Ovis aries: one gene and its partner. The protein of the gene in region 1 interacts with the protein of each later gene in a pairwise test. Links are inferred from orthologs where the notes say so. Each region holds a gene or a part of one and is shown on either strand. Other genes may lie near its edges.

Region 1 (7,538 bases):
AAGACAGGGAGCTGACTGTGGCTCAGATCATGAACTCCTTATTGCAAAATTCAGACTGAAATTGAAGAAAGTAAGGAAAACCACTGGACCATTCAGGTATGACCTAAATCAAATCCCTTAAGATTATACAGTGGAAGTGACCAATAGATTCTAGGGATTAGATCTGATAGACAGAGTGCCTGAAGAACTATGGAGGGAGGTTTGTGACATTGTAAAGGAGGCAGTGATCAAGACCATTCCCAAGAAAAAGAAATGCAAAAAGGCAAAATGGTTGTCTGAGGAGGCCTTACAAATAGCTGAGAAAAGAAGAGAAGCTAAAGGCAAAGGAGAAAAGGAAAGATACACCCATTTGAATGCAGAGTTCCAAAGAATAGCAAGGAGAGATAAGAAAGCCTTCCTCAGAGATCAATGCAAAGAAACAGAGGAAAACAATAGAATGGGAAAGACTAGAGATTTCTTCAAGAAAATGAGAGATACCAAGGGAACATCTCATGCAAAGCTGGGCTCGATAAAGGACAGAAACAGTATGGACCTAGTAGAAGCAGAAGATATTAAGAAGAGGTGGCAAGAATACACAGAAGAACTATACAAAACAGATCTTCTTGACCCAGATAACCACGATGGTGTGATCACTCACCAAAGAGCCAGACATCCTGGAATGCGAAGTCAAGTGGGCCTTAGGAAGCATCACTATGAACAAAGCAAGTGAAGGTGATGGAATTCCAGGTGAGCTATTTCAAATCCTAAAAGACAATGCTGTGAAAGTGCTACACTCAATATGCCAGCAAATTTGGAAAACTCAGCAGTGGCCACAGGACTGGAAAAGGTCAGTTTTCATTCCAATCTCAAAGAAAGGCAATGCCAAAAAATTTTCAAACTACCACACAATTGCACCCATCTCACACACCAGCAAAGTAATGCTCAAAATTCTCCAAGCCAGATTTCAACAGTACGTGAACTGTGAACTTCCAAATGTTCAAGCCGGATTTAGAAAAGGCAGAGGAACCAGAGATCAAATTGCCAACATCTGTTAGATCATCGAAAAAGCAAGAGAGTTCCAGAAAAACATCTACTTCTGCTTTACTGACTACACCAAAGCCTTTGACTGTCTGAATCACAAGAAACTGTGAAAAATTTTTCAAGAGATGGGAATACTGGAGCACCTGAACTGCCTCCTGAGAAATCTGTATGCAGGTCAAGAAGTAACAGTTAGAACTGGACATGGAACAACAGACTGGTTCCAAATCGGGAAAGGAGTACGTCAAGGCTGTATATTGTCACCCTACTTATTTAACTTCTATGCAGAGTACATCATGAGAAATGCTGGGCTGGAGGAAGCACAAGCTGGAATCAAGATTGCTGGAAGAAACATCAATAACCTCAGATATGCAGATGACACCACTCTTATGGCAGAAAGCAAAGAACTAAAGAGCCTCTTCATGAAAGTAAAAGAGGAAAGTGAAAAAGTTGTCTTAAAACTCAACATTCAGAAAACTAAGATCATGGCATCTGGTCCCATCTCTTCATGGCAAATAGGTGGGAAACAATGGAAACAGTGTCAGACTTTATTTTGGGGGGCTCCAAAATCACTGCAGATGGTGACTACAACCATGAAATTAAAAGCCACTTGCTCCGTGGGAGAAAAGCTATGACCAACCTAGACAGCATATTAAAAAGCAGCGATTACTTTGCCAACAAAGGTCCATCTTATCAAAGCTATGGTTTTTCCAGTAGTCATGTATGGAGGTGAGAGTTGGACCATAAAGAAAACTGAGTGCTGAAGAACTGATGCTTTTGAACTGTGGTGTTGGAGAAGACTCTTGAGCGTCCCTTGAACTGCAAGGAGATCCAACCAGTCCATCCTAAAGGAAATCAGTCCTGAATATTCATTGGAAGGACTGATGCTGAAGCTGAAACTTCAATCCTTTGGCCACCTGATGTGAAGAACTGACACAATGGAAAAGACCTTGATGCTGGGAAAGATTGAAAGTGGGAGGAGAAGGGGACGACAGAGGATGAGATTGGATGGCATCACCGACTCGATGGACATGAGTTTCAGGAAGCTCTGGGAGTTGGTGATGGACAGGGAATCCAGGCGTGCTGCAGTCCATGGGGTTGCCAAGAGCTGGACACGACTGAACAACTGAACTGAACTGAGCTGATTCATACTTTACAAGAGATGTGGTTTTTCCAGATGGCACAGTGGTAAACAATCTGTTTGCAGATGCAGGAGACAAGGGTTCGATCCCTGAGTCAGGAAGATCCCCTGAAGAAGAAAATGGCAACCAACTCCAGTATTTTTGCCTGGAAAACCCATGGACAGAGGAGCCTGGTGGGCTAGAATCCATGGGGTTGCAAAGAGTCAGACACGACTGAACACACACACACACACACACACACACACACACACACACACATTCATACTATAATCAAATCAAACTGGTGGTGGTTTGTTTGTGTTTTTTTTTTTTTTTCACCACTCCAAATTAACTGGGTTTTGCTTAGTGAAAAGAGCATCTGAGGCTCTTATTTAGAGCTTACTACGTATCTCAGCACCAGGTTGGGTGTTCACATCCATGGCCACAGTCAAACCCACAGCGACTCTATGAGGTCACTGTCATTGTCCCATTTCATAAATGGGGCAACTAAGACACAGTTAAGTGCAGGGTTGAGATGCAAGCTAACTGTCTCAACCTCCAGCTCTTAAGGCTCTGGTATTACCCAAATCGCATTTGCCTGCCCAACTGACCATACATTTTGCAAAGTGCTTTCACACACAGCAGATATCCAGACGAGATGGGGAGGGGGGAGGTTACCAGCGTTCTTTTGTGTATGTGATGAAATCCGAGGTTCAGCGCTGCTAAAGTGAAAGTGAAATCGCTCAGTCGTGCCCGACTCTTTGCGACCAGGCTCCTCCGACCGTGGAATTCTCCAGGCAAGAGTACTGGAGTGGGGTGCCGTTTCCCTCTCCAGGAGATCTTCCCAACCCAGGGATCGAACCCGGGTCTCCCGCATTGCAGGCAGACGCTTTACCATCTGAGCCACCGGGGAAGACTCAAGAAGCTGTCAAAGTTACCCGCCTCCTTCCAGTCCAGCAAGGACACATAACTCCCTCACTCCAAATCTCATTCTTATCCCAAAGTCTCAAACTCCTTTGCACGTGTATTTTAAAAGCGAGATGGCAGGGGACATCCTGCCATTCCTGCAAAGCAGCTGTGCACTTCACGGCCTCAGTGTCAACGCTGAGCGCTGACAGCGTTGACAGCTTGACCGGGGCTCCCCGGCTCCAGCTCCGAGACAGCCGAGGGCATCACAGATGCGGAGGAAGTGGGAGGTGAAACTGCTCGCAGAGCAGCCCCTTGGGACGGTGCCAGCACCGCGTCCCCCATCCCACCCCAACCTCCTCCCTCCAGGTCCTCGAGTGCTGAAACCCGAGACTCTGCGAGGTGTCAGGACGCTGTTCCCGGACCAGGCGGCGGGGCGTCCCCTGTCCGGCGAGTGCGCAGGGGAGGGCGCGCGGAGCCCCGAGCCTCGGCTGGCTCAGTCCCCGGGCGCAGCGAAACCCAGCCGCGCGCTCAAGCCGCCTTCCTCGGCCACCGGGACCCACGGGGGCGGGAACTGCGGCTCCCGGGATCTCAGCACCGTCTTCCGGGAGGACCTGGCCCGGCTCGGCGCTGGCGGGCAGCCCCAGGCCCGACAAAGACTTCAGCTCGGCACGCCACGCGCCCTGCCTCAGTTTCCCTCACCCCGCAAGAGTGCAGAAGCCCTAGATATTAACCGAGGCGCACCCCGGACCTAAACGATTTCCAGAGGACAGAGCTCACCCTCGCCGAGGAACCCTCGGCCCGACCCGCCGGGCGGCCGTGACAGCACCCCTACCTGCGCGGTGCCCCCTGCCGCCACCGGCCGGGGCGCCCTGGGGAGCCCCGCCCAGCATGCGCCCCGCCGGCTCCTCCCGATCCGCCTCCGCCTTCTCCATCTCCGCTGCGGCCAGAGGGCTCTGTGCACCCGAGGCCCGCGTCCGGGAAGCTAAAGGCCGAGCCGGACGGGAAGTGGGGAGGGGGCTGGCGAGGAAGGGGAGGCTCCTTCCTCCTCCCGGGCTGGACCGGCTGTTTCCTCTCCAGCCTCGGGGCAGGCACGCGCGCGCGCACACACACACACACACACACACACACACACACACACACACGCGGACGGCTGGGGCGGGCGGGGCGCGCAAGCCCGCAGCCTGGGTCACAGACCTCGGAGAGCTTATTTTTCACTCTCCCTCGGTGTTGGACGAAAATGAGAGGGGAAGTGCGGTGGAGAGGACGGGTGTTCGGGAAGGGAGAGACTAGGAGGCCCTCCTTGGGGGACGGGAGGGTTCCTCCCAGACACTAATTAGGGAAGTGACCACAGGGTTGATGGAAGAGCTGGACGGAGTGAGAGGGACTCTTTTCGCTAGGAGCGGGGGGCGGGGGGAGGATGAGGGGAGACTGCAGCTCACCCTGGGAAAGAGAGCGGGGCGAGTAGTTCTACATGAAATGAGGATCCAACTGTTTGAATCTTCTGGCAGCACTGGGCTGGCCCCAGATCCGCCTCCCCACGTTGGGCAGCCAGCCCAGGACACAACTGCGATCCGTGCTGAGTTCCTAAGCCAGCCCACTCGCCTCCTCTTGTATTCATGCAGGAGTCTCCTGGAGCATCTCTGAAGACGCACCTGCCAGAAATGGTTCTCGCCCTTAAGGAGCTTCCCCGGCCTCCTATGGGGAAGATAAACATGAGCGTGTAAAACTAAATCATGACGTACAGCAGAATATGCAAGAGCCAAAGTCTGTCATGAAACACTGTAGAAGTGGGAGGAGGGGCGGTAAGAGGCAGTGAAAGGTCGGAAAGGCTCCCTGGAGGAAGGGGAAGGATCGTCCTAGAACTGCAGGAGAGTCAAGGTCGTTCAAAAGATCAGGACCATGTGAGTGAAAACACCTATATATGCTTAGAAGTCGGAGTGTTGTGGGACAGAATGAATGTGAGCGTTAATATGAAGAGTGTGGGGAACCATTGGATGAGGCTGAATGTAATGACGGTCACCACCAAGCAGAGATCCGGATTCACCGCAGTTTGTGAGATTAGAACAAGCTGTTTGCTTAGCTAGTTGACAGAAATGGGAGGCAAGAGGTGACCAGCACTAAATGATGTGGAAATGCCAGAACTGCCTTGGTACACTGTAAAGGAATTATCTAAAGGCTTAGGGAGAGTGAAATATTAGCATAGACTTATCACATAAGACCCACTTACTGACTCCCAGGAGGTCCAGAGGACACTCTGAGAAATAACTCTGTGACCCAGCATGCCTGGTCAACTCTTCTCTGTAGATCAGAAATTACCATGGAAACTGCACCACTGCAGCGTGGGTCCTTAAATGCAGTGAGAATAGTTGGATCCCAGCGTGGCTGGAGCCGAATGGTGGCAATGAATCACCCAAGGCAGGGTGGGCACGGTTTCTGTAATGGACAGCAAAGGCAAAGCAGCAACCAGAACAGTCTGCCCCCACAGACCTATGGCATTGATCAGTTAGTCATGGCAATCCAGGATGAGAATTCTACTGAATTCTTATGTGATCTGTATGAGCAGGAAAGTTCTTGGTCAAGCAAACAAAAGCCTAACTTAAATTACTAAAACAGAGAGACTCCATCAATTCCCAGACTTGAGTCAATTTGCAGACCCAAAACTCCTTGAACAAAGGGGATGTTTGTCTCCTACAAGATTCTGCAACATTGTCAAAAATACATACTATTACTCTTTCTTCGAGCCTTCCCCAAAGGGACATGTGGCCTTCTACTAGGGTGACTGTGCCTTGGGGAAAAGGAAGTAATCAGACTTTTCAGGAATTACTGGACACTGGGTCTGAGCTGACACTGAGTCCAGAGCATCCAGAACATCACTGCGGTACTCCTCCAAGCAAAGGTTTGCAGAGGTCAGGTGATGAATGGAGTTTTAGCTCAGGTCCATCTCATAGGGGTCTCTGCACCCATACTGGGGTTATTTCTCCAGTTTGGGAATGCACTGTTGGAATAATTAGAATAATACTCAGCAACTGGCAGAATCCCTACATTGGCTCCACGACCCTTAAAGTGAGGGTTATTTTGTGAGAAAGAGCCAAGTGGAAGCCTCTACAGCTGCCTCTGCCTTGGATGAGCAAAGTGGTTGCGGCGGCAGTCCTGGAAGTTATCTGGCGGCTCAGCAATACAGGCTTGCACTCAGCAAAGCCAGTCTGACCATGGCCACCGCTGAGGGTCCAGTCCGTCAACAGCAGGACCAACAGTGCGGCAGCATTCCCCAGTTAATAACCAAAGGCAATACTGCCTACTTAGAGAGACTGCAGAGAGTAATGCCATCATCAAGGACTTGAAAGATGCACGGGTGATTTCTACCACCTCCCCGTTCAACACGTCCCTGTGGCCTGTGAAGACAGATGGAGCCTGAAGAACGGCACTGGGTCATCATAAACTAAACCAGATGGCGATTCCAATTGCAGCTGCCCTACCAGCTGTAGCTTCACTGTTTAAGCAAAGTAACACATCCCCTAGTATCTGCTATGCAGCATTGGTCTGGCAAAATGTTTCTTCTGCATACCTGTTAGTAAAGACCAACCACAGGGCAGCCTTTCTTCAGCTGGCAAAAACAGCAGTACAGTGAAGACTGCCCTCCCTCAAGGATAGGTCAGTTCTCCAGCCCTACATCCTAATTTGGTCAAGCAGGGACCCTCTTGCCTTTCTGCTCTGGAAGACCTCACACTGGTCCATAGCACTGATGATGTTATGCTGATTGGACCTAGTGTGTAGGAAAGAGTAGCTCTCCTAGGCTTATTGGTGAGACATTTGTATGTCCTGGGGTGGAAAGCAAATCTGACAAAAATTCTAGAGATTTCCTTCTCAGTGGGTTTTCAAGAGGTCTGGTAGTAGAGGCTATCCATTCTAAGGTGGAGGATAAGGACTTTCCTGGTGGTCCAGTGGTTAAGAATCAGCCTTCCAATGCAGAGGGTATGGGTTTGATTCCTGGATGAGGAACTGAGATCCCACACACCACAGGGCAACTAACCCACATGCCACAACTGCTGAGTCTGAGCAGCACAACGAGAGAGAAGCCGATGCACTCAACAAAAATCCCACATGCCGCAACCAAGACTTGAACTTGACGGTCTCAAATAAATAAATATTTTTAATATTTATTAATTTAAATATTTATTAACATTAAAATTAATACATAAATAAGGTGAAGGATAAGTTGTTGTATTTGGCCCTTTATATGACGCTGGTGGCTCAGACAGTAAAGAATCTTCCTGCAATGCAGGAGACCTGGGTTTAGCCCCTGGGTCAGGAAGATTCCACTGGAGAAGGGAATGACTACCCACTCCAATATTCTTGCCTGGAGAATTCCTTGGACAGAGGAGCCTGGCGAGCTACAGTCCATGGGGTCGCAAAAAGTCAGACTGAGCGACTAATAATACTTTCATAACCAAAAAAGAGACACAGCACCTGATAGTCCTCTTTGGGTTTGGG
Region 2 (7,070 bases), on another chromosome or scaffold:
CATTTCAAACTGGGGACATTCGGCAAGACCACCAGCCCAGCCTCTTCAAACAGGCCCAGGCCACTGAAGGTGGGAGTCAGGGAGGCTGATCTAGATCTAAGGGACTGAAGAGACACTTCAATGCAACGTGTGATTCCCCACTGGGGTCTGAGTCGAGAGGGGACAATTCGGGACACTCTGAGAAACTGTGATTACAATTCTCCCACACCTCAGACTTAGGACTACGGTAGCTGCCCAGGGCTAAACCATTTACCGTCAGTGCTCTCGTACTGGAGACCACGGTCCACGTCAGATGGGGAGGACAAGGGGACCTCTCAGAGTTCCCACACAACACAGAAGGCTGAACGTCTACAGGACTTTCTGTGTGGTCAGTTCAGTAACGTTTGAGGAAAAAATGTACTAATGTTTGTAACTGTGATCTAACATCATTTTCAAATGAAACTCAGTGTGATTTTTAAATTAAACACTAAAGTGACACCAGCAAAACTGATCAGAGTGGGACTCTTTTCTAAGTCACCTTTTGCCATCAAGCTCATGGCAACACTTCTCACGGAACACAAGGGAACCTATCTTGATGGCAGCGTGGAGTCAAGACTCTAAATCTACAGTGCAAGGCCAGTGTTTTAATGTAAAAGGACTTAGAAGTTACCTTCAGAAAGTCGTGCAAGTGCTTCAGGACACCTATCCTGACTTCATCGAGGTCTTTTAAAAATCCATTAAAAATTGGGACCAGGTCTGCAGCTGTGAGCTGGTCTCCCAGGATGACGGCGAGCTCGTGGATGGAGAAGGCTAACGTTCTTCGAACCTTCCACTGCACGAGTGAAGACGGCGGCATTAGTGAGCTGAACACAAAGTCCTGGTGCTTTGACGTCCGGACAATACACGAAGGCTAATTTATATCTGAACAGTGTTATTAACCTCAAGTGAAATCAAAATAAAATAGTAATAATAGATACCCAGTTTAAAATGCTCACTTTCTATCAAAAACTGGCAGAAGAACGTCAAGTCCCTCAGAGTATGTATCATTCCCCCTTTCACTCAGGAAGGAACACAACACTTGGCGAGCACGGTGGAGCCGCCTGCGCGCCTTCGGAGCACGGGGGGCCCAACCTCCTGGTGCACCCCTCCTGGCTCCACACGGTCTACCCTGGATTCAAAACAACCCCAAAACATATTCTTAAGGAACTGGCCATTAAAGAAATACAAGACTGGGGAAATCTCTTGAAGGCAGCCCTGGAAAAGAACCACTGAACAGGAATGCCCTGTTTTTATAGGCAACTTTATGTCAAAACCTTATTTATCTTCATGTGGGCTTGATTTAAAATTTTACTTTTTTATTTTGCTTAAAACTTTACTTGCTGAGAAGCTGGTTAGGACAAGGGGTTTATCCCCACTCCCAAACACCAGGACCTCTTCCTGAGACAGAATGCTGTGCCTGCAGCGATGTGCGCCCCCATGGAGGAGGGCAGGGTGCTCCGCTCAGAGCTGTCCCGTCACTGTCACCACAGCCACGAGAGGCTGGGGAACAAAGGCGGAAAACCGCTCAGGGTCACCGGCTGTGTGGAGGAAGCATTTCTGCTACTGTTTCTGGGGGAAGGGCCCCACTTTCTTAAGAATTAATCTGCACATACATTTCAGACCACAGCGCCAGCACCTCTGTGAGTTGGGGACGTCGGCGGTTCAAATGGGAGGCAGATTTTAGGGGTATAGTCCAAAAGAAGGCGCGATGTGCGAGTGGAGGGAGGAGCCTGGACCCGCAGGGAGACCCTCTGCGCAGCGCCCTGTGCCCCGGCCCCGAGGTTTGGCCGGCGGCCCCGCACCTGCATGTCCGAGGCCAGTGTCTCGTAGGTCTCGCGCAGGCAGTGCCAGTTCTGGCGGCCGAGCGTCAGCGCCACACCCGGCAGGCTGTAGGCGCAGTGCTTGGCGATCTCGGTGTCCACGGTCTGCGCCCGCGAGGGGTCGGTCATGGACAGGTACTGGTCAAGCAGGGCCTGGGGCACCACGTCCTAAACGAGACAGGGTGAGACTTCGTAGATTAGGTATGCTTATGTTAAATACCTGGATTTAACGCAGCATCTCATACAGCAGCAAAAAACCTGTCTCCACATCTCTAAAAACTGAGAGGTAAGAAAACATGCAAAGGGAAATACATGTATCAGTGGATAAAAGTACCTCTAGGACAAAGACGACAAACAAGACCTTAAAACAGAAAATAGCTTAGATGACGATGAGAACTGTTCACTAAATTTACAAGACGCCAGAAACAAGAGCAGGTGGTTCAGTGCTGGCAAAGATTAGAGTCTGGAGTGACCCAGAGACCCAGGGGAAACGGGTCTGCTCCCGCGCCGCCAACCAGCCAGCATCTTAAAACCACCACCACCACCTCCAGAGGGGAGTTTTAGCAATTATCTATGGAAACTCGAAGTGTGCACACCTCTAACAACTTGTATCAATGATCTTGGGTGATACAGCTTTGCAGGGAGCTACAAAATAAAGGCACAACTGCTGCCTTGGGTGAAAAACCAAGTGGGTGCTCGAGAAAACTGTGAGGGAAGCTCAATTCTGAACTTTGTAAACTTAGTCTCTATTTTTAAAAAATAAAGTGGAAGTTCATGGAAGCAAGGAGCCAGTCTATATGTACTAGCTTGGAAAAGCGTGCTTTAAAACACTGTGAATGTGGGCTCCATTTTTAATCAACAACAAACAACAATCAAGGATTCGCCGCCTTTGGCCCAGGCACCATCATGGTGCACGGGCTTCACCTGCGATGTCAGAGCACACCTGCACCCCCGTCACAGCCCTGCCCACATGGCGGGGGTGCTGCTGTGCTGGGGTGGGGGCGGAGGCGGGTCTGTGTTCCTGTGCAAAGAGCTCCAAGACACGATGTTTTTAAAATGAAACGAAAGAAAGGCACCACCACACCCCAGCGGCCCCACACTTGAAGCCTCTGTCTCAGGGCACCCTGTGGCCGACGGCACCTCATGGCGGCTCTGGCCCTGCGTCCACGTTCTCCTCTCTGAAACCCAGCTCCACTTTACAAGCCACACAACCCAGGCATGAAGACCAGGCGTGACAGCCTGTCTCTGAAAGACAAAGGTGTGCACGCCTGTGCTCACGTGCCCGCAGACTCGCTCTGAGGAAACACGGAAGGAGGGTGGCTGTGGGCACCCTGGGGGGAAGGGGTCATGGTGTGAGAAAGGAAAGGCCTCTGCTTGTCCTCCACTCCACTGCTTGAATCTTCTCATCAAAAAAAGACACACAAGCAAGCACTCCTTTCCGAAACCTTATCAGGAGGGCCAGATTCGGGGAGAAATGGGCTGAAAGCGGGGTGAAAGTAACATGTATGGGGTTGCTGACCTGGACTTTAGCTCTCCTTTCCTCTTCAGGGCTGAAGCCACTGCCGGGGCCCGTGTCTGAGCCATTGTGCATAGAGTGCAGGGCAGAGTCCAAGGTCTGCTGGGAGAAAAGCCACTTAGACAGCCACCCCGTCAGGCAGCTCCTTGCTCCTACACCGTCCAAGCTGTTCACCTTTCACGACCTCCAAAGGAGGAATGCATATGAAGTCTTCATGCTTTTCAACGTTTATAAACAGACGTAAGACCTCCTAAGAGTTCCCCTGCCTCAAATCAAATTTGCAGAATAGGCTGCTTAAGGTTTAAAAATAAATTCCAGAAGAAATGTAATTGAAAAGCAAATTTAGAAGTAATTTTGGAAAGGCCCAAATATCTGAAATTAGCAATCAATAAAAACAGTACTTAGAGGGTACTACAGTCAACTCTTCTACGGTATGTTGTACGCAGTTTTTCTTCTACTATTTCTGGCTATTTCTAAGTTCACAAATACACCTTTTTTTCTTGTCACAGATGACACGGTAGCACGGGGAAAGCCACTGCAGGACACAGGCCGGGGGCCAGCTCAGCCCACACCTACTCCTGGCCTCAAGTCCCGATCTTCGCTCAACACCATGCCTGCTGCAGGGAGAGACCGGTCAGAGACCCAGCGCCTCTCCAGAAAGACAGGGGGGGAGTTCGTCACCCCAACAGAAGGCTCTGCCCCCTGCGGTGCCCTCACCTGGGCTGCAGTGGGCAGGTGGGGAGGATGGACCAACTGCTAACTCCAAGCACGAGCCGTGACCCTCGGGTGTCACAGAGATGACATGTGGTGACTTTATGCAGAAGGGGGGCACTAAGTGGCCGGGATGAGCCCCACGGCCGCCCGAGAACATGTGCCCGCCCCGTGGCACCCTCACCTCCTCACTGATCAAAGGCCCAGAGGCGTCATGGTCGAGCCGGCAGCTGGGGAGCTCGTCCTGAGGGGGCCTCCGGGCGGCCTCGCCGGCCTCGTCACCAGTGTCCAGGCTGGAGGCACGCAGGGCAGCAGCCAAGACATCCACCTGTGCTGTGGGTGGAAGGACAGGCTGTGAGCGGGGCCGCTGTGCGGGACTACCCCTTCGCGGACGCTGTTATGGGCTCAACGAGGCGCAGTGTTCTGGGGACACTACCCTCAAGAAGCTGGAAGAGACCACTGCTGTGGTCAATCATTAGTTTTCCCAGGGAAGAAGTAGAAAACTAATACGCTTTCATGAGATTAAAGTGTTTACCCACTACTGTGCATTATTCTGCGTTAGTACGAGAAGAGGTGCTATCTAGTCAATTTCAAGGTCAGTGAACTATGTTTCGGGGACCATGAGTGGGACTGGCTTACTTACTAAGCCACCTTAGCAGGAGAGCAGTCACACAGACCCTGCCAACATAAAACACGGGAATTACAAAGACGTCTGTGGCAGTCACATTTAAACATCTCACATCTTACTCTGGTTTATTTATATTTTCCTCTAATTTTTTTAAGTGAAATCAGTGACTTGCCCCAAACACAGGGATCCCAAACAAGCACTGTCTTGTTCTCAGGAAAGCAAAACAACAGATCGCCAAGCAGCAGTGCTGAAGTCTGACAACCAGCATTGTCTACGACTTTGAGTTATATCTTCTGTATAAAAGTTGTTCAAAGCGAAGACAAGCATTCTTCCTCCTCTGCCCCAAATGAGGAATTTAGCAAAAAAAAAATATATATATATATTTTGTTTAGCATTAATTCAAGTAACAATCCCCCTGGATGCTCAAAACATAGGAATTTATAAAGTTTAACTGCAAATTTACTTAGTACAAAGATGAGAAAGTGGGCTCCTGCTCTACTTAGAGATGATTAAAAAGCAATCAGCATTTTATTAAGATAGCCTATTACCATGCTTCAGCATTTATAAAATTTACTATAAAGTTTCCTACGAGTAACTGGCAGCAGAGACACAGGAAATGTACAGGATGAGCTGACTGAACACATTACACTGAGGTGTCCAATCGTGAAAGCTTACTCGTGGACTGTATCCCCACTCTTCCGGGAATCTCAGCGGCTATCTGTACTAATCCTTTAGTCACTTCTGCTCCCCTTTCAGAGTCCTCTGAGTTCCCACAAGGAAATCACCGCAGAACTAGAGGAGGCCAACTGTCCGGTCCATGCTCTGGACTGGGCAAGTGCTCTGCCCCTGGTAGACATGGCAGGTGGGGTCTGTGTCCCTGACCCCTGATGACCCTGTCCCGGGAAGCCTTTCACAGAGCATGCCTCACACAGGCAGCCTGCTCCAGGGGGCGCTCTGTACACGCCTGCTAGTCAGCCAATTCTCTAACACCTAATAAACATTAATGGGAATATCGAATATGCTACTTTAAATGCTTTTTAAACAAATAAGCTAGAAGTAATTTGTGTAGTTTGCTTTTTGAAAAGAGCTACACGGACATATGAGTTTCAGGATATAACTGTGTGTTTCCCATCGTGAAACAGTGACTTACACTGTCTGACCTAAAATTTACAGCCTGTAATTGAGATTTTAGTAGCAATACTGTATTACGATTTAATTATTTCTCTAATTCAGCTCCTAAACCTGCTACAATTTAAACGTGTCACCCCATTCTTTCTGTCCGCAATGCTGATGATTGAGAACACAATCATTTATCGACTAAATCATCCAGCGTCCCTTACCGAGCACCTCGTATGCACCAGGTGTGTCCTCCAGACAAGTGACCATACAGTGACAACAGATGCTAAGGCCCAGCGAAGACAACTGCTGACTTCCCCTCCACTGACAACACTTCCCAAGTTCAATGCAACTGGATTTTGTGTGTCTGGAAGGACACTGAAGGTATGGCTCTGCTTTAAAAGCAGTGATCTGCCAGCACTGAGCTAACTGACAGTTTACAAGTTTAGCTTCTGCAACAAACAAGGAAAGCCAAGTCCACAGAAGATCTGGAGACTTGCAGTTTGGGGATTTTTCAAAACTGCTTTCTGTTTTACAGTAACATTCCAGATTGCCCTGACGGTTAGCGTGGTCAGGAACCCTGATGATGCTCTGATGTCACCGGTGTCAGATGCCCACGTTCAGACTGTAAACCACCCCCGGAATGGGGCGGCCTGGGCCCTCTCCCCACACCCCTACTCCACGATGTGAGAGCAGCTTGCTGTTTTTAAACAGTCACACAGAGCGACCTTCAAGGCTGCCTTTCACAATGGCAGAACCCAGGTGACACATGTGTAACCCAATGGGAACAAGGGCCGAACTGAGGCACGAAGATGCCAGTGGGACCCTCGCCAATGAGCACCACATCCTGCTCCACAGGAAGACGGGCATCTCATCCCCGCTTACAGGTCATGGGCCTTCCTACACAGTCCTTCTTCTGTAAAACAAAGCACTGTCTGTTGAGACCCAGGGCAGACGAGCAGAGGCAGGACTCAAGGTTTAACCTGTAGACCAGTGAGTGTGTGTGAACATATCAGAGCGATCTGTGAACCAGGACACTGGAACCTGCTACACTCAGACAATGACAAGCTCCTCTAAAATTAACTCCCTAAAATGCAGACCAATCATGCTCAAGATAAGAATGCATGATGACAATGGTTGATAGCGATTTTTAAAAGGTAATCTTTCTGGCAGAAAAAACTGAGAAAGTAACATTTCATCAGAACAAAGAACCGACTCCCTCCCATACCTTTCACATCGGGGTCGTCAATGTGTGGCTCCA

Evidence for each region.
Region 2: the proteins of DISC1 (region 1) and PPP4R1 interact in a two-hybrid assay, tested with the Homo sapiens proteins (2 studies listed by BioGRID and IntAct). The link is inferred for Ovis aries from reciprocal best matches to the Homo sapiens genes DISC1 and PPP4R1.

Annotation. Positions count from the first base shown.
Region 1 is NC_056078.1:3,811,765-3,819,302, reverse strand, and holds the start of DISC1 (disrupted in schizophrenia 1 protein), read right to left. Parts: upstream 4,055-7,538; 5' UTR 3,980-4,054; coding exon 3,880-3,979; intron 1-3,879. UniProt on the Homo sapiens protein: Involved in the regulation of multiple aspects of embryonic and adult neurogenesis. Required for neural progenitor proliferation in the ventrical/subventrical zone during embryonic brain development and in the adult dentate gyrus of the hippocampus.
Region 2 is NC_056076.1:42,182,358-42,189,427, forward strand, and holds part of PPP4R1 (serine/threonine-protein phosphatase 4 regulatory subunit 1), read right to left. Parts: coding exon 7,038-7,070; intron 4,399-7,037; coding exon 4,250-4,398; intron 3,454-4,249; coding exon 3,358-3,453; intron 2,007-3,357; coding exon 1,821-2,006; intron 812-1,820; coding exon 650-811; intron 1-649. UniProt on the Homo sapiens protein: Regulatory subunit of serine/threonine-protein phosphatase 4. May play a role in regulation of cell division in renal glomeruli. The PPP4C-PPP4R1 PP4 complex may play a role in dephosphorylation and regulation of HDAC3.